Elephas maximus indicus: one gene and its partners. The protein of the gene in region 1 interacts with the protein of each later gene in a pairwise test. Links are inferred from orthologs where the notes say so. Each region holds a gene or a part of one and is shown in the gene's direction. Other genes may lie near its edges. The genes, in order: ABI2, NUP62, STAM2 and WIPF1.

Evidence for each region.
Region 2: the proteins of ABI2 (region 1) and NUP62 interact in binary tests that used the Homo sapiens proteins (3 or more experiments, as listed by UniProt). The link is inferred for Elephas maximus indicus from reciprocal best matches to the Homo sapiens genes ABI2 and NUP62.
Region 3: the proteins of ABI2 (region 1) and STAM2 interact in binary tests that used the Homo sapiens proteins (3 or more experiments, as listed by UniProt). The link is inferred for Elephas maximus indicus from reciprocal best matches to the Homo sapiens genes ABI2 and STAM2.
Region 4: the proteins of ABI2 (region 1) and WIPF1 interact in binary tests that used the Homo sapiens proteins (3 or more experiments, as listed by UniProt). The link is inferred for Elephas maximus indicus from reciprocal best matches to the Homo sapiens genes ABI2 and WIPF1.

The regions. Positions count from the first base shown.
Region 1 is NC_064824.1:101,915,896-101,922,944, forward strand, and holds the start of ABI2 (abl interactor 2), read left to right. Parts: upstream 1-4,028; 5' UTR 4,029-4,263; coding exon 4,264-4,380; intron 4,381-7,049. UniProt on the Homo sapiens protein: Regulator of actin cytoskeleton dynamics underlying cell motility and adhesion. Functions as a component of the WAVE complex, which activates actin nucleating machinery Arp2/3 to drive lamellipodia formation.
Region 2 is NC_064829.1:100,371,297-100,379,105, reverse strand, and holds the start of NUP62 (nuclear pore glycoprotein p62), read left to right. Parts: upstream 1-4,788; 5' UTR 4,789-4,877; exon of another isoform or gene 4,878-4,897; intron 4,898-7,809. Other genes in the region: ATF5 (cyclic AMP-dependent transcription factor ATF-5), read right to left, coding at 1,665-2,317, 3,366-3,543. UniProt on the Homo sapiens protein: Essential component of the nuclear pore complex. The N-terminal is probably involved in nucleocytoplasmic transport.
Region 3 is NC_064824.1:49,378,247-49,385,084, reverse strand, and holds the start of STAM2 (signal transducing adapter molecule 2), read left to right. Parts: upstream 1-3,838; 5' UTR 3,839-4,190; coding exon 4,191-4,230; intron 4,231-6,838.
Region 4 is NC_064824.1:72,796,475-72,804,415, reverse strand, and holds the start of WIPF1 (WAS/WASL-interacting protein family member 1), read left to right. Parts: upstream 1-4,923; 5' UTR 4,924-5,091; intron 5,092-7,941. UniProt on the Homo sapiens protein: Plays a role in the reorganization of the actin cytoskeleton. Contributes with NCK1 and GRB2 in the recruitment and activation of WASL.

The DNA.
Region 1 (7,049 bases):
AGCAGAACTGAGCGCCATAGGGCTTTCAATGGCTGTAACGTTATGAAAGTAGATCACCAGGCATTTCTTCTGTGGTGCCACTGGGTGGATTTGAACCATCAACCTTTCAGTTAGTAGCCAAGGGCAAACGATTTGGACCACCCGTGGACCTAGAAATGTGTACAAATAATATGAAAATATCACTGATTATGATTTTTCTTATTTGGGGTAAGAATGGGAACTCAATTAATCATGCAATTGTTTGAATGAAAACTCTGCATTTCCCCTGAGTACTGTGTAATATCTAACAGAGAACTTAATTACATAAAAAGGAATTGTGTTAAATTTCATTGTGTTTGTGAGTGTATTACTTTAAAATGTCATGAAAGAGCTCTAAAATAAGATTTGTTTCTAAAACTTCCTTTGTTCCACTCTCCCATTTACTAGCCATGTAGCCTTAGGCAATCACTTAACTTTTCTGAGTTTCATATTTCCTCATTGGTAAAATGTTGGGGTAGGACCTAGATTTTTCTAAGGTACCCTCCAACTTGAACATGCCATAATTCTATAATATACGATGAGGAGCAATTGAAGAAATGGGTTCTGTTAAGCCCTAAAAAGAAAAGAAAAAAAATAATGAATGGCTTCAAGTATCTAAGTATGCCTTTGATCTTTACAGTTAAAATAAAGAGAAGTTTGATTTGTCATGTTACAATGCAAAAGAAAAACGTTTTAAATTATCAAACCAGTGTGGAACCGCTAACTCCATGACTTTTAAGCAGGTTTGGTAAATTTCTAACTTCTTTTGTTGTTTTGTGCCCTCAGTCAATTCAGCCCCATAGCAACCCTATAGGACAGTGTAGAACTGCCCCAAAGAATTTCCAAAGCTGTAATTTTACGGAAGCAGATTGCCCCATCTTTTTTCCAAGGAGCGGCTGGTGTGTTTGAACTGCTGACCTTTCTGTTAGCAGCCGTGTGCTTAACCACTGCACCACCAGGGCTCCTTTAATCCTCATTTTTTGGGACTGTAAAATATGGGGATAATAAAACCTACTTTTTAATATTTAAGAGTTAATTTATGTAAAATGTTGAATTAATCCTGGCACATAGTAGGAATTAAGCAAGTTACCTGCTTTTTTTCTCTTTCTCTACAACTGTTAGTCTTTAGTACTTGAGAGGGCCAAAACGATATACAATTTATGGATTTTGTTTATTAATTAAATAACTTAGCAAGAGTAGTACAATAGCAACACAGAACCTAAAATAGTGTCCTTTTTGCCAGGGTTATTGATGATAATGATTGAAACAGAGAATGAAGGTAAACTGGAAAAAGTTTTTACAGTTTTGTGGAATATCATGTAATTTAAATGTAAATGGAACTACCAACTACTCAGTTGCCCAAGCCAGACACCTGTCTACCAGCATGGATTTATCCTTTAGCTTCCACATGGAATCATTCACTAACCCCTTATGATTTTACCTCAAATATTTCTCTTATTCCACCCACTTCTTTCATCACCCTCCCTGAAGATCACCATCATTTCTTACCAGGATTGCCCCTAGAGTCTGCCTTTAGCAATACTTTCCTGGTCCTTTCTCCATAATGCATCCATGCTAAATTTACTTGATGAATGAATAAACGAACATTCTGAGTTTTCCAAGATCAGAGGAAGTCATTCCGTGTATAATGGTTATACTATAATTTGATTTTTGTTTGGCCTGTTTTGAGCCTGAACCTAGCAGTGCTTGTTTTTAAATAGTAGCTTTGTGGTTAGCAAAAAATAGTTACTTAACCAGTTAAATGAGAAAAGATGAGTTCCTGGATGGTGCAAATGGTTAATGAGCTCTGCTGCTAACTGATTATGTGGGAGATTTGATTTCCATTCTTGGTGGAAATTCCCCGCTGCCAGCAACTAGAATCATAGACCTTCAGATGGAGAAGGGCAGTTTCATTGGCATCTCCTGGGTTCATTGGCATCACCTGGGAACTTATACTAGCTGCTGTCAAGCTAATTCTAACTCATGGTGACTGCACGTATGTCAAAGAACTGTGCCCCATGAGGTTTTCAATGGCTGATTTTTTTGAAGTAGATCGTTGGCCTTTCTGGGTGGATATGAACCTCCAACCTCTCACTGAGTAGCTGAGTACTTTAACCATTTGCACCACGCAGGAACTTCCAGTGGACTTGTTAAAAATATAAATTACTGGGCCAGGCCAAATGATCAGAAATTCTGGGGGTGGAGCCCATCAATCTGTGTTTTAACAAGCTTTCTAGGTGATTCTTATGCATGCTCAAATTTGGTAACTACTGACCTGAGTTTGTTTTTTTCAGCTAAGAAAACTAAGGTTCAAAGAAGTCACAAATTAGAAGAAGTATACACCAGCTGCTCCTTGGAAGCCCTATGGGGCAGTTCTACTCTCTCCTTGTAGGGCTGCTGAGTTAGAATCTTAGAGTGGGCTGCCTTGCTCTCCCAGTGATTCCCAGGGTGATGAATCATCCCTCAGGGAAATCTGTTTGTTGGGCTAATTGATAATCAGTTAAAAAAATTTTTTTTTTTATTTGAAAGGATGCTAGGTGGGAATAAGTGTAGTAAGGGAAAAGTCTGCCTATAATTTAACCCACCTTGTAGGCTTCTTGGAAACCCTGGTGGCGTAGTGGTTAAGTGCTACAGCTGGTAACCCCAGGATCGTCAGTTCAAATCCGCCAGGTGCTCCTTGGAAACTCTATGGGGCAGTTCTACTCTGCCCTATAGGGTCACTATGAGTCAGAATCCACTCCACGGCACTGGGTTTGGTCTCGATTTTGTGGGCTTCTTACAGTTCAACGAGAAAGAAAAATGACTGTAGGAGGGCCAAGAGATCAAAAGAGCAAGAACAAGAGCTGAAATAATGGATCCTGTTCTAAACTACAAATGCCTAAAATGGTACACCTGGAGTCAACCTTGACTTTCCCCAGTACAAATAAAAGTCACAGACTTAATATCTCAGCAGTTGTCAGGAGTTTTAGTTATTGAAGAATGACATTCTGAAGGCTACTTAGATTTAGGGAAAAAAAGATATATATAAGTTGAATACCTGGAGAAGAAGAACAGAGTGATGTAACAACTCTGCAAAATCAAAATTATCTACAATTTTTGTAGCACTTCGCTTTTCAAGGTGCTTTCACATAAACTTTTATTTTATCCATGTAACAGCCCTGTAAGGAAGAAAATTAGTACCAGCAAAACCGTTTTCAGAATTTGAAGTACTGAATTCTGGAAGAAAAAGACAGCGACGTTCACAGAACCAGGGAGATGACAGAACAGGCTGTCAGTGAGGAAGAGAACCATGGAAGAGGGCAAGCACAAAAAGCTGAGCTCCGTGTGCTGTCACACAGTAGGGAGAGCAACTAGGGTCACACAGCAATGTGCGTATAAGTTTTTGTAGGAGAAACTGACTTGAATTGTAAACTTTTACTTAGGGCAAAAAAAAAAAAAAAAAAGCTGAGCCCCAGGGGACGGGCAAAGGAAGACAGCTCTGGTGGTCAAGTAAGTGCAGTAAAACCGAGAGTACAGGAGATCTGGGATGAAGAAGCTGGAATTTACTTATCCGTACCAAAACGGATGAGCTTTAAGATGAAGAGAAAAATGAAAACTGAGGCGGCACTTAAAGCTGCACGGAAGTTTTGTGAGTTTGATCCCAGCCCTGAGAAGATGTGATCTTTCGCGGAGGATGGACTCCTCGCCCTTCAATCAGCAGCAGAGAAAAGCCTCGATCTGCACAGGGATCCGGCCCCCAGGGTGAGAATAACGCCGAAAGTCGTGGAAGACGCCGGCGGGATGACAGCGGAGCAGGATAGCGCCTACTTGACCGGCTAACAAAGGCGTCCGAGCGGACTTCCCCGGCAGCGGAACTAGCGGGGGGCCGAAGGGTTAACCGCGCGCCCGGCTCCCGCGCGTATCCCGGCCCCCACCCCGCCGTCGCTAGGAGACGCCGGAAGTGGGGGAGGGGCAGGCGGTGCGGCCGAGGGTGGGAATCTTTTTCGGGCTCCCGGGGGCGGAGGGAGGGGAGCGCGCGTGCGCGTGCCCGGCCGGCCGTCGCCGCGGTGACCGTTCTCGCGGTCCGTCGGCTCGCGCCCCGCCCCCGTCCACGCCGCCCCCTCCCCTGTCGCGCGCGGGGGGTGTTTCTCGCTCCGGCGGGTTGCCGCTGCCGCCTGTGCTCCTCCGCTGCCAGCCTTGGGTTTCCCTGGCGCTGCCGCCGCGGCCACTTCTGCGGTCTGTATGAGGTGAGAGGAGGATGTGAAGATGGCGGAGCTGCAGATGCTGCTGGAGGAGGAAATCCCGGGGGGCCGCCGGGCCCTCTTCGACAGTTACACGAATCTGGAACGGGTGGCCGATTACTGCGAGAACAACTACATCCAGGTGCGACGCATCCCCCGGGCGGGGCCGTCGGGCCTCGGCGGTGAGGGGCGTGCGGAGGACCCCCTGGGAGGGGGCCGCGTTCCCGGGGTCGTCGGGAGCGGGCGGAGGCCGCCGCGGGAGAGCTGGCCGGGCTGAGCCCCTGACGGGGGGGTGCAGGGTGAAGACTGGGACAGGGGATGGAGAGTGGGTGGGAATCCTCGGCAGGAGGAGATTGTGGCTTTTAAAACATTTTTAAAAACCGTGAATCAGTCCTCGGCGCGGTGCGTGTGTCGTGTCCCCGCCTCCTCGCTTCTCCTGCCCTCATCCGCCCCCGCACTCGGTGCCGGTCTGTGTTCGGGATGGCAGGGGAGGCGGAGAGTGGCATTTTCTATTTGCCAAAATTCTGCTCCCCCACGTAGGGAGGCTGTGGAGGGGAATGATAGGTCACCCCCAACCCTCAAGCACTGGAGGATTTTTAAGGGGCTGTGTTGCTGCAAAGTAAAATACTTCGGTTTTCTATTCATGTGAATGCCTCAGAAGACCATTTTCCCCCTTTAGGTCTAACGGGGATACGGTAGAAGAGCAGTTGTTTCTTGTTGGAAATTATTGCCATTTTTCTCCTTATGGGAAAGGGAAGCTGCGTGATAATGAGCTGCTCTCCCCCCCGCCCCCCCGTCCCGTTAGATTGGTAATTTTCCTGAGAGAAAAAGGATTGTGATTGTTTTTTTAGAGAGAATTAGGAAAATGAACCTCATGGTTTAGTATTCCCGTGATTGTTGGTTTGGCACAGGGACTCATAGTGGTAACGGTGCGTGTGTGGCATGTGTGTGTATGTATGTATGTGTATGGGGGGGTGGAGGAGAGTGGCTATTGGGTGAGATGAGATCCAGCTGCTCCAGGATAAAGCAGAAGATTCTGGATTTGGGAAAAAAAAAAGTCCTTTAAAAATTATTTGAAAGACTAGCAGGATAAAACGCACAGTTTGCAAATTCAGCATCTTTTGTTTCCTTGATGATTTATTCTGAATTACAGGTTCTGCGTCCATTTTTTTTTTCCTTCCCGTTTAAATTCTCTTGGGATAAAGGTGGAAATGGAAACTGTTAAATTGTTTCTTCACTCTGACCTTTTTTTCTTGCTTCCACCTCCATCTCTCCAGGCATCTTTCTTAACATCAGCTATACTGGGAAGCATTCTTAAGTCTTAGAGTAAATTAAAAAACAAACCCAAGTGTTAAAATATATAAGTTCATAAGTTTTGTAAGGAGGGTATGGTTAATGGTGGTAGTGTGAGATTTTACTTGATTAGACATATACTGAACTTTGTTTTATGTTGTAGGGAATATTTCTGTTGGAGAATGAACCAGGCATAATACAAGCTTTTTCCCTCCAACGAGGCAGTTGAAAATATGTCTAATTGGAAAAGGAAGGCTGTGTCTTGGGTCAAAGATTAATACAAAAAATACAAATGTCTGTATTGGCAGGGTACTTCACTGATACTGAGTGAGGTCAGAGAGATTCAAAAGTTTAGTTTCTCATTTTTTCACTAAATGTATTTGAATGTCTTTGTGCTCAGCACTGTGCCCACGGAGTGCCTAAAAAAGATCCTTTGCCATCTAGTTGGTTCACACTTACGACGACCTCATGTATTACAGGGTAGAACTGCTGCATAGGGTTTTCTTGGCGATCATCTTTACTGAAGCATATCACCAGGAGTTTTTTTGAAACACCATTGGGTGGGCTCAGACTACCAATGTTTAGGTTAGTAGTGGAGCACAAACAGCTTGTGCTACCGAGGGGTCTTATACTTAGTGCCTACAGAGTTTTATAGTCTAGTTTTTAGGAGAGGCTGATGTGTGAGCAAATTAATACCATATAGGTCTGTGACGGCTGGGGTAGTTCTGTGAACCAATGGGACAGAGTAGAATTGCCCAGTAGGGTTTCCAAGGAGCGGCTGGTGGATTTGAACTTTGACGTTTTGGTTAGCAGCCATAGCTTTTAACCACTGCACCAGCAGGGCTGCATTTTGATTTGGTGATTTATACTCTGTAATAGACTGCAGGTGGAAAGAAAAACTGGCAGAAGCTATGCTAGTCTCAGAAATTCACAATCTGTAGGAAAGGCAAAACCTAAAGGATTGAAGTGTTAATTGCATTGCCTTGTGCTCCGTATTATGGGAAAGAGTTGTAGTCAAAAGAGAAATTGAGGATGGAAAAGTGATTGGGTGTGGTTATCACCAGTAAGTAATAAAAGAAACAGATTTGTATCTCTTACGATTGCTACATAAAGATAAAAGTAAATGGATTAATAAAGCCAAAAGGGTACAGGCATCAGTGATTGTCTTCTTTTTATATATTTTTTGTAGCTGAAAAAGAGGACCATTACTGCCACCATTATCTGTCTTAGCAATAGGACTCAAAAATTAGTGTGGTGGTGTTTTTAAACCCAGTGTATAAATATTGATGTGATAGAAATGGATTTGGGTTTTTAAAATCCCTAATTTCTACAGTTTAGCATTTGAAGTAGACTTTACACTTTTACTTCTTAGATTACCATCTGTTTTAGGATTCAGTAGCTATATTATTGACGCCCTCTCTCACAATGACAGCTCTTACTTGGTTTGTTTGTCGTATAGTTGATAAATAGAACATGTTGCGGTGAATTTGTGCTGATCCAGCAGCACATTTGGCTGGC
Region 2 (7,809 bases), on another chromosome or scaffold:
GCAGTGCAGCCTCTTTAAATCTCTGACCCCCCCCCACCTCCCTCTTTCCCTTATAAGGACCCTTGTGACTACATTAGCCCACCCAGATAATCTAGCATAATCTCCCCATCTCAAGATCCTTAATAACATCTGCAAAGTCCCTTTTCCCATGTAAGGTATTATATTCACAGGCTCCAGGAATTAGGATGTAGACATCTGTGGTTGGCTATTTTGGCTACCATATGTATAGTTTTTTATTTTTATTGCAAATATATGGATGCATTAGCAAAATATGGTATTGACTGCACCTTTGTTGACAAGTTGGTTGACTCGTTCTTTCGTTGGTTGGCTGGTTTGTTGGTTGTTTGGTTGACTAGCTCATCGATTAGTTGACTGACTGCTTCATTCATTGGCTAGTTTACTTACTGATTGATTGGTTGACTGCTTCACTGACTGATTTGTTGACAGGTTGATTGGTTGGTTGACAGTTTGATTGGTTATTTGGTTGGTTCTCTCAATTTCCATTACACACTCCATATATTAAGAAGGCTTAGAAAGCTAACCACGTGTGTTGTCCAGACTCTCTTGCAGCTAGAGCTCTACATGACAGTTAGGTCTTCTTGATGACAAGAGAATGGGAGGCTTTTAAGGAGGGGCTGCAAGCCCATCTCCAACTTACCTATTTCTCCCAAGAGGTCTGCATAAGAAAACTGGCTCCTCAGCAAGAGAGCATCCCACAACTCACATTGCAGCCATCAGCCCCTTTTGTTTTGGAGTCATCCTTTTTGTTGTATGAGACAAGGACTGAGGGAAGCTGGCACCTTTGGCTGTTCTTTCTTTCACTTTCTATCTAATTAATAAATTAGCTGAATCTAAAAAGAGGTTCATTGTATCAGCTGTGGATACAGCTACTCCCCAACTTCCCCTCTCAAAGATAAGACATGGAGACCAAGAGGAAAGTCATTTTATTTTTGTTCACAAACCCCCAAAGGATCACTCCCCGCCCTCCCTCACCTAGATGCAGCCCCATCCCCCAACACCTTCACAAAACACTGATTTCCTCCCAGAGCTAAAATTGAACACCCAGTCACCAACTATGGCCATTCCCCACCCTGCCCCTTCCTCCCCACTGCCTGTATATTCACCTGCTCTGTGAACTTGGCCACCTCTGGACTCTCTCCCCAAAAGTAGTTCTCCCCAAGGTCACTTGGCTTGGTTTTTTTGCTTTTTCTTGAAGCGCTCCCTGACTTACCTATCCAGAGTCCCTGTTCTCATTGGCATAGTAATTCTGCATAGCTTCCTGGCCCCACCTCTAGGTTCCAGCCAGGACCACTCCACCCCGCACCGAGAACAACTTGCAAGAAAGCACTGATTTGGGACTCAAGAGGCCCTATTTCCAAGCGCTGATCTGCTCCCTGAATTCCCTGTAGCTCTCAGTTCCTCAGCTGATACTTGAGGGATGGAGATGTTAACTAAGGCCAAACGTTCCAAAGTTCTGAGGATGGAGTAGGGGACCAAATTCAGAAATGGGCTAGAAAGGAGACAAGGATAAAAATAAAGGAGGGAAGGGTGTAGAATGAAGCTGGAGGTAGAGGGATGATGAAGGGGTCCCACCTCAGCCACAGAAACGGAAGTGACCCAGAGCTGAATACCAGTGCCCCCTACAGGCCAAAGCCCCTGCCCATCTAGCTGTTGCGTGTCCTCTGGCTTCGAGCCTTATACACTTCGATGAGCAGATCCTTGACGTACTGGATCTCCCGCTCCACCGACTCAGCCCTTTCCCTCAGCTCCCGGTTCCGAGCCTCCAGCCCCTGGCACTCGCCCTCCAGGGCCTCGCCCTCTGCCCGCTTCCTCTGGCGGTACCTCAGAGCTGCTGACTTGTTTTGGTCTCTCTTCTTCTGCTTGCGGTCCCCTCGGGTGGTGGCAGGGTTGGGGTACGGGGCTGGGCGAGAGGGCTGAGGTGGGGGAGGATGGGGCTGCTGTGGTGGGGGCAGGGGTGCCAACCCCACAGCATCCCCCTGCCCAGTCTCGCTGCGGCAGTAGATGGCCAGCAAGTCGAGGGTATCCAGGGCAGGGGGCTGGGGGAGGTCTAAGGTGGGGAGGGGGAGAGGAGGAACTTGTGGGGGTGGCGGAGGAGGGGAGGGTGGTGGGAGGAGTGGGGCATCAAGAAAGAAGTCTTCCATCTGCTCCAGCTCCTTCTTGAGGAGGGAGGCCATGGCTTCCAGATCAGGTGGGGGCGGGGAAGGTGGGGGAAGGGCACCAGGGGGAAAGGGAGGCTCCAGAGGAAGGAGGGCTGTGAAGTCAACCCGCTCAGTCATCCAGTCAGAGAAGCCGTCTCCTAGGGAATTGGAGAAGGGACATAAAGTTCCATCTGAGTTCCTGGTCCTCCATCCAATTGGGTACTCATTCATCCCATTCATTCAGTAAAACAACCAACCAATCAACAAATCATCAAACCAGTCAACAAGCCAACAAGTCAGTCAAGCAACCAATGAACAATCAGCCAACAATTTGACCAATCAACCAACCAACCAGTAAATCAATCAATGAGCCAGTAAACCAAGCCATCAACCAATCAGTGAAGCAGTCAACCAGTCAACCAAACCACCTGTAGACCAGCCAGACAACCATCCCACAAACCAGTCAACCAACCAATGAATCAGTCAGTCAGCCAACTAATCAATCAACCAGTCAAACAGCCAAAAAACCAGTCAGCCAACAAAAGAACCAATCTGCCAACCAGTCACCCAACCATCCATCAACCAACCTTTTCTTCAACCAATCCAACATCCTCTTTACTTTTTTCTACGGTTCCTCTAATCTACTCTCTAGTTTGTCCTTAAAACACCAACTAGATGACATCACACACACATACACACACACCGTGCTTCAACTTTAATTCATTAATTACTGAAAACCTACAATGTGTCAAGCATTTGGGATATAGTAATGACTAAAACAATTCCTGTCTCAGGGTCTCTGCATATGCTGTTCCTTCACCTGAAATGCTCTTCCCTTGGGCCTTTTGATAGCTCGTTCCTTCCCATTCTTCAGGCCACAGCTTAATGTTACCTTCTTGGACAAGGTATCCTGGCTACCCACTCTAAAACTAGGTCCCCTTTGATATTTTCTAGCTCAGTCACTAAGTGCTTCCTACTTAGTCCCAATACATCTTCGTTTTACTTGACTGTTGTCTGTCTCCCCACAAGAATGTGAGTTCTGGGAAGGCAGGAATCATGTCAGTCTTGTTCCTGGCTCTATCCTCAGCAGCTAAAACAGTGCCTGACGCATTGTATTTACAGAATCAATGAATAAATTAATTCTTCCTTCTCCCTCTCCCCCACTTCCCCCCAGCTCATCCACCTCCATTCTCCACCTGCCCTTACCTGCCAGGGGCTCTCCCCCCCCTGGAAGCCCGCCCTCCAGGGCTCCCCCAAGGACCTCATAGGGGCCCAGGGGGGCAGGGGCCAGGGGGAGTTTCCCATAGTCTACGAGCCAGCCCAGCCCGCTAGCTGGGAGCAGGGTCCTGTCCAGCTCCAGCCCCAGGGTCGCCAGGAGTGACATGGCTGCAAAAGAGGCGCTGGGCACGGATGGCAACGAAGGAGGCAGCACCAACAGCTGGGAGGTTGCTCAGATGGACTAAGGCAGGCACCAAGGCGAAACCGGAGGACCTACACGTTGGAGACAAAGGGAGCAGAGTCAGCAGCCAGACCGCCACCAGCCAAAGGCACCGGGAAGCCATACCCCCATTGCTAACAGGTTCCCCCCTCTCGGAATTCTAAACCCTGAGCCCCCCACACTCCCAAGGGAATTCTCCTTAGGCCTCTCCCATCCACCCCTTGACACTCTTCTTCATTAAAAAACCTGAATCCCAGGGGAATTTTCTTCTAGCCACGCCCCTTCCCCAAAAATGTTTCCTTTAGGCTCCGCCCCATCCCTAGATTCCATCTCAAATCAGTTCCCAGGGGAATTCCCCCATGTTTTGTTCCTTCATCAATGCTATGTGCTTAGACTCCACTCTTCGCTTAAATTTAGTAGTGAACCCCCACTCCCCGCCTGCCCCCGTGCCCTCCAAGCTCCACTCCTCCTGAGTCCCTATAGGCCCCGCCTTTCTCCAGACGAAACCCCTCCTCGCCTGGCCCCGCCCTTTCCCACAACGTGTTGGCCCGCCCCTCACGAAACCTGTGTTCCTCGCCCTAAGCCCCGCCTTCTTCCCTGTCAATCTAAACTAGGCCCCGCCCCAGCAGATGCCTGCTGAAAGCGAGTGAAGCTACGCTGTGCGCCACCGCAGTGTGGAGAAAGGAGGGCGGGGGAAAGGTTGTGGAAAATGTCTTCCACCCCCACCCTTCCACAAGTCGCCGTCTCCCCGAGGGCTAAAGCGCATGATCTGTCATCCAGGTGGTGTAAATTGTGTTCTCATGCATTCCCCCCCTCCCCGCCCTCTTGGGGGTCAGTGCGCATATGCGGCGGCGTACGCCCCGACCTTTCCGCACAATTACGGGCTCTGGTGGGCTGGTGCGCATGACCAACAGCGTACGGCTAGACTCGTTTCCGGGGGAGGGGGAGGGAACTCTGTGGGAGCTAGTGCGCGGCAGTAACCGCACGCGTTCCCTTAGCGTAAACAATCAGGAAGAACCCTGCCCCCCCACCTCGGACCGAGTGCGCATGCTCCGATGGGCGCCGACAGGCGCCCCCCCGCTTCTGCGCCTGCGCAACCAAGATTCCCCAATCACTTCTCCCTACCCAACCCCCGGTCAGGCCTTGAGGGCCGCGCGCAGCGAAAGGGCGGGAAAGGCGGTTGGAGAGGGAGGGGCGAGCGGTTACTCACTCCATGGCGGCAGAAAGGGGAGGCAGCGGAGGCCTCGGCTGAAGAAAGAAGGCAAGAGCGGATAGCGCAGGTGCGGTGAGCGCGGAGACGGGCCGGGGGGCACGGAGGGGTCGCGGCTACAGGGCCATGGCCAGGGCTACGCGGGCGGTGGCGGCGTCGCGCTAGTGTGAGGAAACCGTGATCTGAGGACGGGGAATGAGGCGGCCCCGGGGACTGGGGACAGATATACCGCAGGTGGCGCAGCACAGTCCGTCCGGATCCTTCCGCGCTCCGCCCCTGTGCGGCCCTAACCGGGAGGCGGGCCCGGAGCCCTCCTCCCTTTCACCCGGGGTTCGGACCCCCTCTTCCATCTCATCTGAGGATCGGATCCCCTCCTCCCTCTCACCCGGGCGTCCGGCGCCCTCCTGCTTCTGACCCGGGGGTAAGACCCCTCCCTCCCTCAGAACCGGGGGTCTAGTCTCCTCCTCTCTGTGATCTGGTGATCAGACTCGCTCGTGTTTCTGGGGATCGGGCCCTCTCCTGTCTGACTCTGGAGCCCGACCCCGGCCTCTCCTCCCTCAGACTCGCACGTGGTCATTTCTCTGTTCCCTTCCCCCCTTCATGAAAGAATTTCCTGCCAACCACACCCAAATCTCTCCGTCCATTCATCCCTCAGCTGCTGCCCGGGCCTGAAAAGCCTTGTAGGTTTGAGATCTTGCTTGAGTCAGAGTCAGATGGCCTTCGTTCAAGTCACAGAGCGGCCAGGGTGGCCTTGGGCAAATAACTGAAGTTTTCAGTGCCTCATGTGTCCATGTGGTAGGGTTGTTTGTCAGAGTTAAATAAGGTGATGTCTTCGAAACCCTAAGCACAGAACCGGGCTCATACTTGCCTGGTAAACGGTGCCTTGTTATTAAAAGGAACTCTGGTGCCCAGTCTCACCCCTTCTGGCAGAACCCCAGGCACTGGACCACCCAACACCTGTTAAGAGGTCATTTTTGTGTGTCTCAGTCCTCCCTGGTGTTCATTTCCAGCCATCCCCTCCCTCCCCTTCCCAAGTGGTAGATGCTCAGCCACTTCCAGGTGGAGGGATTCAGGCCTCATGGCCCCCTCTCCAGCTTTTTCTCTTTTCAACAGCCCCTGCCCACCTTCTTCAGCCCTCGTCAGCTAGTTCTTTCTCCTGCCCCTGCCCTTCTCCCGATGGTTTTACAGTTTTTTGTCTCAGCTGCCACTCAGCATCAGGGAACTGTCTTCCAGCCGGGGTCACTATAAGTCCGAATCCACTTGACGACATCGGGTTTCCTTTGGTTTTTACCCTTCCGTTCATTAAAAGAGAGGGCGCATCACCCCCAGCTGGCCCAGGTGGAGATGGCTCTTTGCTGTGCTGCAGAAGGTCCCTCTCTTTTCCACTCGTCGTTCATCCACATGGAGTTCAGTCTCATCCCTTTTGGGGCAGCTACAAAACAATCAAAACCCGGGGAAGGTGGGTTTTGAGGCTAGCTGGGCTAGCCTATCTTGAGATCTGACCACCTTCCGTTAGAGCCAGATTTGAGCACTAGCCCTGTAGTTCCTGGGATTCATAGGGGCTACGCTATTACTTAGGCAGTATAGGGCAGCACTTTAAGAGCTCAGACCCTGGAGCCAGATTGTCTGGGTTCAAACCCAGACTAGCCGTGTGGCCCTAATTTCCCCATGCCTTGACTTCCCTTGCGGTGGAACGTGGCCAATAATAGCATGTGCCTCTTAGGGCAATGAGGATTAAATGAATTAATCTCTGCCTGTCCTTTATAGTAGTGCTTGGCACATAGTGGCTGCTGCTCAGGGTTGTTACTATTACTGTTCTTGCTGTTAATACTGAGATGCATATGTTCTGTTTCCATTGCCAGCAGTGGATCCTTTCAGACCATAATGGCCTTAGAGCTTTGGTGTGAGGCTTAAGGATGGACTCCCCTCCATGTCTCAGTGTAGATATTTGAACAGTAGCAGGTGGCAGGGATTAGGGTTGACTGTCGGGCAGGCTGTTAGCCTGGGGAGGCCCTGTCCAGACTACCAGAAAAGGGAAGCCCCAACTCCAGCTGAAAACCTGCTGCTGGCAAGATTGAGCCCTGGCCCAGCCCTTTGGCACCTTCCCTGTTGAGGTCTATTTTCTCACTCTATCCCCCACCTACAGTCTTCTTCTGAGAAGGCCCTCTGGGTTATATATATGGAAACTAGGTAAATAAACTATTTTAGTAAAAGTTTAGATTTACCGAAAAGTTACAGAGAAAGTGTAGCGTTTCTGTGTACCCTACATTCAGTTTTCCCCGCTGTTAACAACTTACAAGAGGAAGGTACAGTTGTCACAGTGCTGGAACCAGCATTGACACATTACAACAAACTAAACGCCACACTTACCTGATTTCATTCCTTGTCCCTGCATGGCCTTGTTCTGTCCCAGGATCCCCTCCAAGGCACCACATCACACGTGGCTGCCTCTGGGCTGTAGCCACTGCTCAGACATTCCTTGGCTTTGATGATCTGGTCAGATTTGAAGAGGGCTGGTTGGCTGTTTTCTGGAATGCACTTCACTTTGGGTTTGTCTTGTGGTTAGACTGGGACTATGGATTTTTGAAAGACCCCTGGTAGCACAATGGTTGAGTGCTCAGCTGCTAACGAAAAGATTGGCAGTTCCAACCCACCAGCCATTCTGTTGGAGGAAAGACCCAGCAATCTACTCCTGTAAAGATTACAGCCTAGGAAACCCTATGGGACAGTTCTACTCTGTCCTGTAGGGTTGCTATGAGTCAGAATCAATTCTGTGGCACACAACAACATGGGTTTTTGAGAGGGCCCCCAGGTAGGGTATTTTTTAAATAACTGGTAATGGGAATCCTGTTACTAGTTTGTGGGGCACCTGCTGACTGGGAAGGAATTGGGGCAGGGACCATGGTGGCCGACATCCCAGCCTCCCATGCCGTTTTCTCTCTCTGGGCCTTATGTCCTTGTCTGGTAGAGTTGTTGGATTCCGCCCGATTCAGCCCTAGTGC
Region 3 (6,838 bases), about 53 Mb from region 1:
GTCTCTGGGTCAGAAAGCTCTGAAGGATATCATACGTGAAGAAAGCAAAAGGTCACTAAAAAGACAGGAAAGAAAAAAAAGACCAGAAAGAGTGTCAGAAGAGACTCTGAAACTTGCTCTTGAATGGAGAGTAGCTAAAGCCAAGTGGAAGAAACGATGAAGTAAAAGAGCTGAACAGAAGATTTCAAAGGGTAGACAAAAGGCAAAGTAAAATAATATAATCAAATGTGCAAAGACCTGGAGTTAGAAAACCAAAAGGGAAGAACACGCTCAGCATTTCTCAAGCTGAAAGAAGTGAGGAAAAATTTCAAGCCTCGAGTTGCAATACTTAAGAATTCTATGGGGAAAATATTGAATGACACAGGAAATATCAAAAGCAAACAGAAAGAATACACAGATCCCCTGTAGCAAAAAGAATTGGTCAATGTTCGACCATTTCAGGAGGTAGCATATGTTCAAGAATTGATGGTAGTCAAGGAAGAAGTCCAAGCTACACTGAAGGCACCGGCAAAAAACAAGGCTCCAGAAACTGATGGAATATCAATTGAGATGTTTCAACAAACAGATGCAGCACTAGAGGTGTCCACTGGTCTATGCCAAGAAATTTTGAACATAGCTATCCGGCCAAACAACTGGAAGAGATCCACATTTGCTCCCATTCCAAAGGAAGGTGATCCAACAGAAGGCAGAAAATATCGCACAATATTTAATATCACGGGCAAGTACAATTTTGCTGAAGATAATTAAAAAACGGTTGCAGCAATACATCCACAGGGAACTGCCAGAAATTCAGGCTGGATTCAGAAGAGGTGTAAAATGAGGAATATCATTGCTGAAGTCAGATGGATTCCAGCTGAAAGCAGACCATACCAGAAAGATGTTTACCAAGGTTTTATTGACTATGCAAAGGCACTCAAATGTGGATCATAACAAGTTATGGATAACATTGTGACGAACCGGAATTCCAGAACACTTAGTTGTTCTCATGAGAAACTGTGCATAGATCAAGAGGCAGTTGTTTGAACAGAACAAAGGGATACTGCATGTTTTAAAGCCAGGAAAGGTGCATGTCAGGGCTGTGCAAATATTCCAAGAAACTGGACTACTATATGAAGAACTTGGCACCAGGACTGGAGGAAGACTCGTTAACAGCCTATCATACGTAGATGACTCAACCTTGCTTGCTGAAAGCAAAGACAATTTGAGAAGCACTTACTGAGGAACATCAAAGGCTATAGTTTTCAGTATGGATCCACACCTGAACATAAAACAAAAATCCTCACAACTGGACCAATAAGCAGCACCATGACAAACAGAGAAAATATTGAAGTTGTCAAGAATTTCATTTTACTTGGATCCACAATCAATGCCCATGGAAGCAGCAGTCAAGAAATCAAATGACACATTACATTGGGCAAATCTGCTGCAAAAGACCTCTTTAATGTGCTAAAAAGCAAAGATGTCACTTTGAAGGCTGTCATGGATTGAACCGTGTCCTCCAAAAATATCTGTCAACTTGGCTAGGTCATGATTTCCAGTATTATATGATTGTCTACCATTTTGTCATCTGATGTGATTTCGCTATGTGTTGTTATTCCTATGACTAAGATGTAATGAGATGGATTAGTGGCAGTTATATTGATGAGATCTACGAGATTAGATAGTGTCTTAAGCCAATCTCTTTTGAGATATAAAAGACAGAGGTGAGCAGAGACGGGGGACCTCATACAACCAAGGAAGCAGCACCAGGAGCAGAGCGTGTCCCTTGGACCTGAGGTTCCTGTGCAGAGAAGCTCCTAGACCAAGGGAAGAGTGATGACAGGGATCTTCTTCCAGAGCCTACAGAGAAAGTCTTCCCCTGGAGGTGATGCCCTGAATTTGGACTTGTAGCCTACCAGACTTTGAGAGAATAAATTTCTCTTTGTTAAAAACATCCACTTGTTTTTCTGTTAGAGCAGTACTAGATAACTAAGACAAGGACAAGCACCTGACCCCTTACAATCGCCTCATATTCATGCAAAAGTTGGACAACAAATATGAAAGACCAAAGAATTGATGCCTTTGAATTATGGTGTTAGCGAAAAATACTGAAGAATAATCAAATCTGTCTTGCAAAAAGTACAGCTAGAATGATTTTTAGAAGCGAGGATGTTGACACGTTGTCTCACATACTTTGGACATGTTATCAAGACGGACCAGTCCTTGGAGAAGGACATCATGCTTGGTAAAGTAGAGGGTCACTGAAAAGAGGAAGATCTTCAATGAGATGGACTGACATAATGGCTGCAACAATGGGCTCAAACACAGCAACGATTGTGAGGATGGCTCAAGACCAGGCAGTTTTTTGTTCTGTTGTTCATAAGGTTGCTATGAGGTATAAGTGGAGCACTGGCATTATTAAGCTCAACGGTAGCTGTTCTTTGTAGGTCGGGGTTGAGGGTTGAGTTGGCTGCTACTTAGCTGCATGATAAGGTACCAGAATCACAGAGGCTGGGTGGCAAAACTACCATCAGAGGCAAAATGGACATAACAGTAAGTTACAGCAAAGCCTGAATGGCAACTAGGGGGCCCTGACCCGTAAGAGTCTATGGATGATTAATAAGCCACAGTGTTCCTGATGTTAAATAGACAGCAGCCAGTGTGGGTATTGCTTGATGATTACCTCCTCCCACAACCCAACAAGGGAAAAAATAAAGACAAGAATGGGTGCCATATGTTAACTGCCACAATGGAAAATACAAAATTTCTTAGCCACCCAAACCTGAGCTAGCTCTCTGACCCAGGGCCCAATATTTGAACAGGAGGCTGGATCCCCTTGAGAAAAAATCCTGTAATGCCACAGCAAGTATAAATCAAATAAAATCCATTGCCATCCAGGGGATTCTGACTCCTAGTGACCCTGTAGGACAGGGCAGAACTGCCCCACAGGGTTTCCAAGGAGCAGCTGGTGGATTTGAACTACCGTCCTTTTGGTTAGCAGCCCGGCTCTTAACCACTGCACCATCAGGGCGCCCCAGCTACTATATTCCTCCAATCCTTTCCAAAAGGTATCCGCCGACATTTATCAGATTACCTGTACAACGGGGAATGGAAACTAACCAGAACGGGTGCTTGTACTTCTACATTCATTTAAATACCTGGTTGGCTCCTAAAGGAAATTTCAGTGTGACCCTTTCTTTTATCTATCAGGATCGTCATATATTGTCATATAGTAACTGTCAGCAACTCGAAGGCAGGGATTGTGCCGCATTTCGTTTTGGTAGTGCCAGAGCTGAGCACAGTGTTTTCATGCTGAGAACATGACGTAAAGTGAAGTTAGGAGTCCCCACAGAACCACAGTTATTTCGATTCCCGTGGCGGTTATTACGGCAGGGTTCAGGCGCAGAGTGAGATGCAACGCTGTAAGAGGCCGAGAGCAAGCCAGGCCCTCCGCAGAATCTCAAAGCTACCTCTTTGCTGGCGGCTCCATTTGGAAAGCAGCGCAAACGCAGCCATGGGGCCACCGCCGTGAGGGACTAATCCCGCCGCCCAGGAACGAACTAAACTAAACGGACCCCCCAAACCAAACCCACAATCTTACAGAAGCAGACTGCCACATTTTTCTACCGTAGAGTGGCTGATGGGTTCAAATCGCCAACCTTTCGGTCAGCAACCGAACTCTTAAGCACTGAATCACCAGGCCTCAAACTAAGGTAAGGAACGCGGTTTTCAGAGCCTGATTCCCGCGCAGAAAATCTCGGGGGATCTCGCCCCCTGCCGCGCCGCCGCCGGAACTGCAGCTTCCGGGCCTCTGGCATCGCCCAGTTCCAGGAGAGACAACTTCCGGCCCTGAAGGTCCCCCGCTCCGTGGCTCGCCCGGGTCCTAACTATGGAGGGGTGGCTATGGCGACCGCCTGACCCCTAGGAAACCGTAAATCAGGAGTTGCCATTTCTCATGGTGGGTGGCGACAACAGGGGCACTGAAAAGATGCCTGCGGCCAGCGGCGCCTCACCTCAGGAGGGGATCCCGGCGCCAAGTGCGGAAGAGCAGCAGGTCTGTCAGGCGGGAGCAGGGCAGGTGTGGTGGCGGAAGTGCTGGGACGGCGGCCCCAGCGGAGCAGTCTAGGAAGCCGCGGCCCCGGGTCAGCGAGCGGGGAGCCCCTGCCAAGCTTCAGCTGGACCGTTGCGGCTAGCGCTCGGGCGTCGGCGAGATGCCTCTGTTCACTGCCAACCCTTTCGAACAAGACGTGGGTGAGTGCTGGGCCCGGGCTTCGGACTGCAGTTTGTCCAGCTACAAAGTGGGCGGGGGCGACTCTAGGGACTGGGCAGACCAGCGAAGGGAGGTAAGGGGCGGCGCTGCCGCCGCCGCAGCCTCGGAGCCCGAGTTTTTTGGGGGGCAGCCTTGGCTCATCGCCAGCTGCCTGGGGCTTGTCCTCTGCCTACCTGAGTTTGCCCCCCTCCCCCTTCGCCGTCTAGTCGATTCCGACTCATAGCAATTCTACAGGACAGAGTAGAATTTCCTTATAGGGTTTCCAAGGAGCGACTGGTGGCTTCGAACTGCTGAGCTTTTGGTTAGCAGCCGAATGCTTAACCACTGCGCTACCAGGGCTCCAGCCTGAGGTTGAGGACCCCGAAAAAGAGCCGTTCCCCTCGCCAAGCGCAGGAATAAGGAAGAGTCACCGGTTGGCCGGAGGCGGGACTAATTAAGCAATTGTGGAGTGATGATACAAACTTCTTGCTTGCTCCAGACCTAGTGAAACCCCTATCTATTTCTCCCAACCCCTTCTTTTAAGGAGATGGTGCAACCATCGATAAGACAGCCCAACACTAGAGATCTCGACTTGCCCCCATTTATTAGGAAGAACTCACTTTGCTAATGTACAAATGGAGGCAAGCCCTGATAGGGCAGCTTCACGATTTATTTACAATTGCTGGAGGCGTTACTCCCTATTCTCCGATGATGTTGACGCAGGTGCTAGGAGATGTCTTGTCTTACAATCTGAAAAGGTAAATACCAATCTTAGGGTCTCAAAACGGTTCAAAACAACTGATACTTTATTTGTTCTGGTCGTAAGAACACTGGTCTTTTATTGACTTGGAATGAGAAAAAGATGGACTGGAAATAGGACCTTATCTTTGGTGTTACGGTAAGAATAAAAAAAAAGAATGGTAAAGAAAACATTTTGGGGGCAGTAGTTAAAAAAAAAAATTTTTTTTCTTAGTTAACAGAATGCTAGGTAGAGCTTTAGGTTTTGGTGAAATGAAAAAGTATGATAGAAAATGGCCCGAGTCACAGAATAAACACATCATAGCAGTAACCCACCTGCTTCATAGTCATAATTTCAAATTACGGGGAGACTGTTGAGAGTTCTCTAGTTTGGCATATGATGTGATCCCCAAACACATTCAAAAGTCAAATATATGAGATTCAAATAAGATGTGTAGGTCCCTTCTGTTCTGATAGAATTAAGAATATTTATAATTACACCTTGACCCTTAGATAATCTTCAAATATGCATTCCTGTATTTCATTCACCTTTTTTTCTTGAGATTTGAACACAGTTAGTTGACTGGTGCCAATCTAGGAAGCATAACGTTGAGGAGCACAGGCTCTGCATTTGGAACACCTGTACATTTTGTGAAACCTGTGCATTTTATTGCTATTGTAAGGATTTTCATTTTATCTTAATACAGCAGTGGAAAGGGCAAAATAGAGTTGAAAATTATTTTAAAACAAAAAGCTGTGGCGCTCTTTCCTAGAAGCTGATTGTTTTCTAATAGAAAACTTCTCTGGGAGAAGTAGCCTGAGGAGGTCTACCTGTTCCCCTTGTGGCTTCTGTGTCCCTGCATAGTTTAGTGGAACGCAGCTTAGTACTGGTGCGGTAACTGAGGTACTGCTGTCCGTATAAAAACCACTGCTGTTTTAATATATAGGTTATTTCGTGGAGAGTACCATCAACAAAAGCTCCAAGTGTTTGTTAGCGCAAGTATGACTGAATTCAGTATCTGAAAAAGCAAGTTTGATTGAGGCTTCACCTATAACTTCTTTTAGACAAAAAAGAATGGAATTAATAGAAAAAGTGGAATGAAATACTAAGATGTTCAAACTGGCCTCAAGCGTTTTTCATAGAAGAGAAATATGTTACATTTTTCAGATCTTCAGGCTTCTTTTAATTTGGAATAGTTGTAATTAAAGCAAGTCATTATTTGACCTGAGTGTTGTTTTACAGTGTACTTATTTTTTCATCTCTCTGATTCAGTCAGATTTTTTTTTTTTATCACCTTTGTGTTTTTTTTTTTTTTTTTGCTATACCTTTTTCACTGTTCATTCAGCAAACGTGTGTTGAATGATTACTGTGCATCAGGCATCGTGTTGAGTTCTGGGGTCACAAAAATAAGTGACTAGACTGAGTCCTGCCCTCAAGGAACTCACAGTCTAACATATACCTCCCCCTAAAAAAGAGTTAAAGGTAATCTTAATATATTCTGTTAAGTATAGTATTAGAAATGCACTGAAATGCTTTAAATTCTCCCTTTATTTAAAAAGGTCCTCCTCCTTGAAGGGAAGACAAGAACCTTCAGGTAGGAGCTTTCCCTATAAAGGTGTTTGACACTATCCCTGTGCCCCCTTTCTTGACAGCGCCTGCAGGAAGCAGCTGCTTCTTGCTATATGTATGGTATGGTTGTTTATAGTTAAGGGCTTTAAAGGTGACACTGCATGCCTTTGGTAGGCGCAGAGTCTTACCTGGAGAGTGAGCAGTCTTTTCTGACATTATTTGTGTGGGTAAGAGATGCTTTTCCCAGACCCTGAACTGAAACTTATCTCTTGGTCTGGGCAGTGATGGGCCAAGATGTCTAG
Region 4 (7,941 bases), about 29 Mb from region 1:
GTTCTACTCTCCCGTATAGGGTTGCTGTGAGTCAGAATAGACTCGACGGCACACAACAAAGCTGCGCCAGGATTCCTGAGCCACAGAAACAATGAGCTAATAAATGTGTGGTTTTAAGCCACAAATTTTGGAATTATTTGTTACATTACACAGTGTCTTAGTTTCCTTGTGCTGCTGTAACAAAAATACCACAAGTGGGTGGCTTTAAAGAACAGAAATTTATTATCTCATGGGCCTGGGGGCTAGAAGTCCAAATGAAGGTAAAGGACGTGTTGATTCCTTCTGAGGCCCTGAAAGAGCAACTGTTCTACCTATATCTCTCTCCTGGCTTCTCGCCTGATAAGAAAACCAAACCCATGCTGTTGATTCTGACTCATAGTGACCCTATAGGACAGGGAAGAATTGCCACATAGGGTTTCTGAGACTGTAAAACTTTATGGAAGCAAACTGCCATGTCTTTCTCCCATGGAGTAGATGGTGGGTTCAAACTGCTGAACTTTCGGTTCGTAGCTGAGTGCTTAACCACTGCGACACCAGGTCTAGCCCATCCAGTGCCCTCAAGTCGATAGCAGCTGTCTGCAATCCTTGGTGTTCCTAGGCGTGTAGATTCATCTGCCTCCATCGTCACATGGCCACCCTCTTCTGTGTATTGTTGGGGAAAATAATTAAAAACAAAATCTGCTCCCAAACCAGAAAACCTCTCCACAAAAGCAGAAGAGAAAGAAAACAGTTTTCTTATTGCATAAACCCTAAACCAGAACACAGTGGCAGTCTGCTAAAGAGATTGCAAAGACAGAAAGGAACCTGAACCTTATATAGGCAAGCAGATGCAACCCATTACATACGTGCTCTCCAGATAAAGGATAAGAAGCTTGACAACACCGTTTATCTCAGATTCACCTGGTTATAAGGGTAGCCACCAGCGTTTGTTAATGGCCAAAGGAAAAATAAGCTGTTGATATCTTTATAACAGAAGGTAGTTTTAGAGCTTGAAGCCCACCAAAGTTAGGCTTTTACCCTCCCACAGAACTTGAGGGCCAGAGGAGCTACTTCCTTACTAATTACATTTGAAAAAGATGGCTCCCAGCTCCCTCAGGAAACATCCCGGGGTTGTAAAACTGGCAGGAAGATTATCTAGCCATTCAGGAGGACTTCTCAAGAGGCAAAGAATTTACAACTACAAGACATCTAAAGTAAATGCTCAAAAAAACAGGGAAGGGGAGGTCTTGTCTTTTTTGCATCAGGGAATATTATGTATACTTATTTTTTTCTCTTCAATTTGCATTTACCCTTATAGTATCTCTCTGTGTCTGCTCTGCTGTTTTCATAAGACACCATTCAAAGGAGATTAGGATTCAGAATCCTACTCCCGTGTGACCACCTATTTCCAAATAGGGTTATATTCACAGGTACAGGAGTCTGGTCTTCAACATATCTTTTGGGGGGGAGGACACAATTCTATCCATAACACATGGCAACAGATAACTAACGCAAGGAGGTACTATTACAATCCTCATTTTGCAGATGCAGAAACTAAGGCTTAGCTACCTGTCCAGGTCACACAGTTAAGAAATGAAAAAGCCAGGATTGGTAGCCAGGTGACATGACTGAGAGCCCATGTGTTTAAGCACTACACTCATAGCCTCCTGATGAAACTGTCTACGAAGAGAGTTTAATTATTTACAAGAATTAGGTATTTAATCCTCATACACTGTCATTGGAAGTATAACTTGGTACTGACATTTTGGACAGCAACTTGGTAATATCTATCAAAAGGCGCAAACCCTTTTACCTTGCAATTTTACTTCTAGAATACTTATTTATAGAAGTACATAGATGCACAGAGATTTATGAGAATGAATGATTATTGTGCATTTTTTTAAAGGCAAATAACTGGAAGTAACACATACGCCTGCTAATAGGGGATTTGGTTAAATCATGATACACCATGCAGTGAAATAATATGTACCTATTAAAAAGAATGAGGTAGATACATATTTAGGGAAGTAGGAAGATAAATATTGATATCTGTAATAGGCAGACTTCTAAGATGGCTCCAAGATTCCTGATCCCTGGTTTATGCACACTTATCTCGGGTGATCCCCTCGCCGTCAAGTCAATTCGGACTCATAGCAACTCTATAGGTATGTAGGGTTGCTATGAATCAGAATTGACTTGATGGCAATGAGTTTGGTTTTTGAAACCCTGGTGACATAGTGGTTAAGAGCTACAGCTGCTAACCAAGAAGGTCGGCAGTTTGAATCCACCAGGCACTCCTTGGAAACTCTATGGGGCAGTTCTACTCTGTCCTACAAGGATGCTATGAGTCAGAATCGACTCAATGGCAACAGGCCTTTTTTTTTTCCTCTCAGGTACTCACTCAAATACTAATCTAGGTGCTGCTATGAAGGGACTTTGCTGATGTAATTAAGTGCCCATGGAGTCCCTAGGTGGTGCAAACAGTTAAGCACTTGACTACTAGCCAAAAGATTGGTGGTTTGAATCCACCCTGATGTCAGGCTGATACCTCATGGTGAGTCTTTCTGGCCTGGCCAATCCCTACCCAAGAGTCACCTCACTAGCATAAACTCTCAGGTGTAATCTGTAGCCTTACAGATAAAAGAAACTTCAATCACTGGGAAGATTCCAAGGTTTTATAGATTATCTTTAGGGACCAACCGCAAAGAACAAATTCTTTAAGTAAACTTAATTTCCTTAACCCACGGCAATGATTTAAAATAATGGACAATTCAGAACACCATTTATTTTTGGCTTTTGATAATGAAATTATGGGGGAGGAGCATGTATTTTACCTTCCTCATTTTCTTCTACGTACACTAATACAAAAACTCATAATATGGATCCCTGAAAGGCATAAACCCAAGAGAGTTCTTGACCCAACAAATGTTTAATCAATCTGTTAAAAAGTGCCAGTAGCTTGGCTGGACATTGGAAAATCAAAGATAAACAAAGACCCCTGTTCGACTTGTGTGCCACTACTCTGCTCATTTTTGGAAGAATTATCCCATTTAATCCTTACAACAATCCTAGGAGGTAGAACTACCGTCTCTATTTTACTGGAGCAGAAATTGAGGTTTAGAGAGTATCTTAGTCATCTAGTGCTGCTCTAATAGATACACCACAAATGGATGTCTTTAACAAAGGGAAATTTATTCTCTCACTGTCCAGTAGGCTACAAGTCCAAATTCAGGTCATCAGCTCCAGGGGAAGGCTTTCTCTCTGTCAGCTCTGGAGGAAGGTCCTTGTCATCAATGTTCCCTTGGTCTGGGAGCATCTCAGTGCAGGAACCTCAGGTCCAAAGGACGTGTTCTGCTCCTGGCATGGGTATGAGGTCCCCATGTGTCTCTGCTTACTTTTCTCTCTTATATCTCAAAAGAGAATGGCTTAAGACACTATCTAATCCTGCATATCTCATCAATATAACTGCCACTAATCCATTTTATTACATCATAGTGACAGGATTTACAACACATAGGAAAATCACATCAGATGATAAAATGGTAGACAATCATGGAATCATACAAGGGAATCAAGACCTAGCACAGTTGACAGATATTTTGGGGGGACACAATTCAATCCATGTCAGAGAGCTAGAAGGGAAACCAGGCAGCTCCTGGGCTTAACTTGCAGGCCACACTGTGATTAAGTGCCACTGATTTATTTTCAAATCTGGAACTCTTGATATATTGATATTTGGAATCACTTGCCTTCTTTTTATATAAAACATAATAGGTGTATGTTACCTTAGAAATGGTATAAAAAGAAAGGCAAATATATAATGAATCTTAAAATGATGGGCACATTTAGGGAAAAAATCTGTCATGGGAAGAGTTTAGCCATGTTATTAAATCTTCCCAGAAGGGTTACTGTATCTGTTAAAAGCATGTGCAGATACAAGTGTGCACATGGGACTAGTGAGGGAGCAGAGAAAGCATGGAGTCAAGGAGAAACAACCTCCTCAGCCTAGGATAGCAGGTCTCAAGTGCAGATATCCCTGCCTTTTCTGCTTTTATTCAAGGGGATACACAGCCTTGGCATTTTAACTATATGATTAAATGGTTATTATATTGATAATAACTTTTTGTTGTCCTTCTAATGCACACATTCTACTGTGTCGTCGTCTTAGTGTTAACTTCTCTTTGGGGTCTGGGGGTGGCAGCCTTCACGGCCAGTCAGAGTCTTGTAAGTATGGGTTTGCAAGATCTGGCCTCAGATTTCTCTGTTTACTGTTGATCACAGGAAGGTCATATTTGAGGATGTGGGTGGCTGATGATAAATCCAGCCCCACTAACTGCAAAACGACTGAAAGATTCCCCTTCAGATAGGCGGATCTTTCCAAAGAAAAAATAGCACTATGTCCCCACATAGTTGAGGGGAGGAGATGCCTGTGGACCTTGGGCCTCTTTGGGTGCCACGCCTGTGACCCACCAGAGGGGGAGGGCAGGAAGGAACAGCTTTTACACCATTTTTAAAAAGAAGTTTAAGATGTCTCAAAACTGGACCCTCTCTTTTGTGAACAGGGGAAGGTGATGGGAAAAGCTTTCCCTGCAGGTGGGGGAAGAGGGACCCCCAGCAGCAGCGGAAGCTCAGAGATGAGGCCGGTATTTGGAGAAAAGGGCACCGTGATCGGACTCTCCTTCCCGGTCTCGCTTCTCGGCAAACCCTTGTCCCGGACCCCACAGTCTCGTCCCTTCACCGAGCAGGAAAGGGGGCTGGGGAAAGCAAGAGCCCTGGCCTCCTACCCACCCGTTCCCGCCACGATCCTGTGGGAACCGAGGCTGCGGACGCAGAGCCTCAGCACCAGGCCGGGAGGGGGTCCGCCCCCAGCACAAGGCCAAGGCCCGCGGCGGCGGCCTCGCGCGCGTCCACATGTGGCAGGCCCGCCGGGGGGTGGCGGGGAGCCGAGGGGGAGGGTTTACTTCACGGCGAAGTTCCCGGATGGTCGCAGCCTCCGGGCGCTGAGCGCTTTTCCTCCCGCCTGGCTCAGCCCTCGCGGACCGGGGGAGAGGTTTCCCGGAAAAAATGCCCGGCGCGCTGCGGGGCAGGGGAGCCGCCCGGAGCCGCTGCGCGGTAAGGACGCGCCGCCACCGCCGGGGGCGGGGTTCCGGGGTCTCGGATAGCCCCAGGGGGACCCCGCGGCCGCCGGGGCGGGCCGGCTCGACGGCGGGGCTCTGTAGCGCCGTGCGGCACGCAGTGGCGCGGGGCGGGGGCGCGGGCCGTCGAGGCGGGGTCCCTGCGGGCGGCGGGCGCACGGGGCCCGCTCAGTCTCCCGGCCTCGGGAGGGAGGGGCGCCATTCCCGGCCGGCGCCTCCTGCAGGCCCGGCGGGTTGTCCGGGGAGGAGGGCTCCAGACGTGGTACCGCGGGCGGGGCGCCCCCTGAGCCCGCGGACCTCGGCCGCAGCAGTTACTTAGCCGGGATGCGCAGGACCCGCATCTGCACCCCGCCCGGGCGGGCGGGGACTTTCGGGCGTCCCCGGGGCCAGTTCACGCGCTGGAGCCGTCGTCCTCGCGGTGGGAATCGCGGCTTCTCGGCGCTCGGCTCCCAAACTGGCCTCCCGCCGGGTGCTCTGGGACAGCCGGCTCCGCGGGTCGGCGCAGACGCGCACCATCTATGTGTCGGTTGACTGGAGGCGCTTCCAGTTCCTGGCATAGTTTTCGCCAGGCCTGTGCCGAACCCTCGGGACAGCTTCACCTCAGTCTCGCTCCCGTACCTCTCGATATTAACATCCTTTTCTTCTTCCTTTTTTTTTTTTTTTTTAAATAACAGTTAAAAAGAGTTGCAGGTTTAAGAGAAACCAGCTAGCCTCGGTCGGGGGTAGACTTTGAACTCTTTGAGATTAACAAAGGGTGTGTCTGTGTGAGGAATTTTTGGTCCTACTTTTTATTCCATGAATAGTCCCTCTGGGACCACGGGCTCATTGCCCTGAGTTCCCTGGGAAGCCTCTCGAGTTGTCAGCAGTGACTGGGTGGACTTGGGTCTCTTTTTCTGAAAGCGCGTCTCAGTTCGCCCGCCCCCCCCCATCCCACCCCCGGATCTTCACTGGACGCCTCATCCTCAGACTCAGGCTAGTGGCAGCTGCAGAGCCAGGACAGATTCCCCACCCTGACTGGGTTTTCTTTTACCGGTTTCCCAAACCAGAAAACAATACTGTAGCTTCATTTTCAGTCGTTGGCTTTTTTTTTTTTTTTTTGCCCACCTCGAAAGCACCCATTTCTATAACGGATAAAATAACTCCCTAAAAATTTCCTATTTCACTTCGTAAATCTTTTTTTTAAACGGATTTAAAAAATTGTGGTAAATTTTACATAACATTAAATTAACTATTTTAAAATGTACAAATCAGTGGCATTTAATACTCTCACAATGTCGTGCTAAAAAAAAAAAAAATGTTGTGCTACCATTTTGGAAATCACCCTTTGACTTTTTGAGGTGAGAGAACCCTGAGCAGGCTATCAGCACCTTGCATCTTAATCCCTCCTTACGCTGCCTCCCACTGTTGCCGTGTATTTGCCTGCCTGTCATCCCCACAAGGTTGAGTTTCTCAGGGACGGGGTGTGATGTTATTCTCCAAATCCCCAGCTACCTCTGTGTTATATGTTGAATGGAAGTGTGCAGAGTAGAACCTGCAGGTGTTAGTAAAAATTGTCTTCCTCCCCTGGATCTACCCAACCCCTGCCATAATAATTTTGGCTCCCGGAGAAGCACACGAACTTTCAGACTGTGATATAGAGGAAAGAAATTTGTAAGCAAAGTACAGATCTAATCCTGGGACGTTTAGAGAGAATGAGATCACTTCCAGCTTGGTGTGGGGATGGGGGGGATTGATGTCTTCTTTCACTTGTTTGTTCATTTCACAAATTGTCTCCTGTGTGCTCAACCATTCCCTGGTGCTCCTAGGCATATCATGCAAGTTGAGCCTCAATTATCTCTTCCAAAAAGTGGGGTTGATAACCTTTGCTCTTCCTCCATTAAAGGGTGTGAGGAACAAATGAGATAATGGGTGTAAAACAGCAAAAAGTGCCAGCACGAGGCCACCCAGACACCATACAGTGTGGGGCACCAAGACTTAAGAGTGTTAATGAGCTAAAAGGTGGTGGGAGTGAAGAGAAGGTGGTATTTATTGTCTCAGTTGCTCTGGTAAGGGACGAACCCATTTTTGTGGGCAGTATTACATACTGGGTTTGTGTCACTGTCTTTGGTGTTCCAAGGTGTTCCTGGCTGTTGTAATTTTAGGTACATATGTGGTGTTCTGGGTTGAATTGTGTCCCCCCAAAACATGTGCTGTAAATCCTAACCTCTATGCCTATGGTTGTAATCCCATTTGGGAATGGGTTGTCTTTGTTATGTTAACAAGGCAGGATTGGTGTAGAGCGTGTTTTGAGTCAATCTCTTTTGAGATATAAAAGAGATTAAACAAGCAAGGGAAAGAAGTGGAGACGGGAGAAGAGATGCCAAACCACATGAAGATTGCCCAGGAGCAGAAGCTCAGAAGAGACAAGGACCTTCCTCCAGAGCTGACAGAGAAGAGCAAGCCTTCCCCTAGAGCTGGTGCCCTAAATTCAGACTTCTAGTCTTCAAAACTGTGAGAAGATAAATTTTTGTTTGTTAAAGCCACTCACTTGTGGTATTTCTGTTACAGCAGCACTAGGTAACTAAGACATGTGGCATCTACAGTGCACATCAGAAAGTTAATAATAAACAAAAGTGCATTTTATTTCTTGTGATTATCAGTTGCCATTTTTTTTTTTTTTATTGAGTCAGCCCTGAATCATGGTGACCCCATGCAGAACAGAACAGAACTGCCTGGTCCTGCCCCATCCTCATGATTGGTTGTAGATCAGACCATCGTGGTCCATAGGGTTTTCACTGTCTAATTTTTGGGAGTAGACCCCAGGCCTTTCTTCCTAGTCCACCATAAT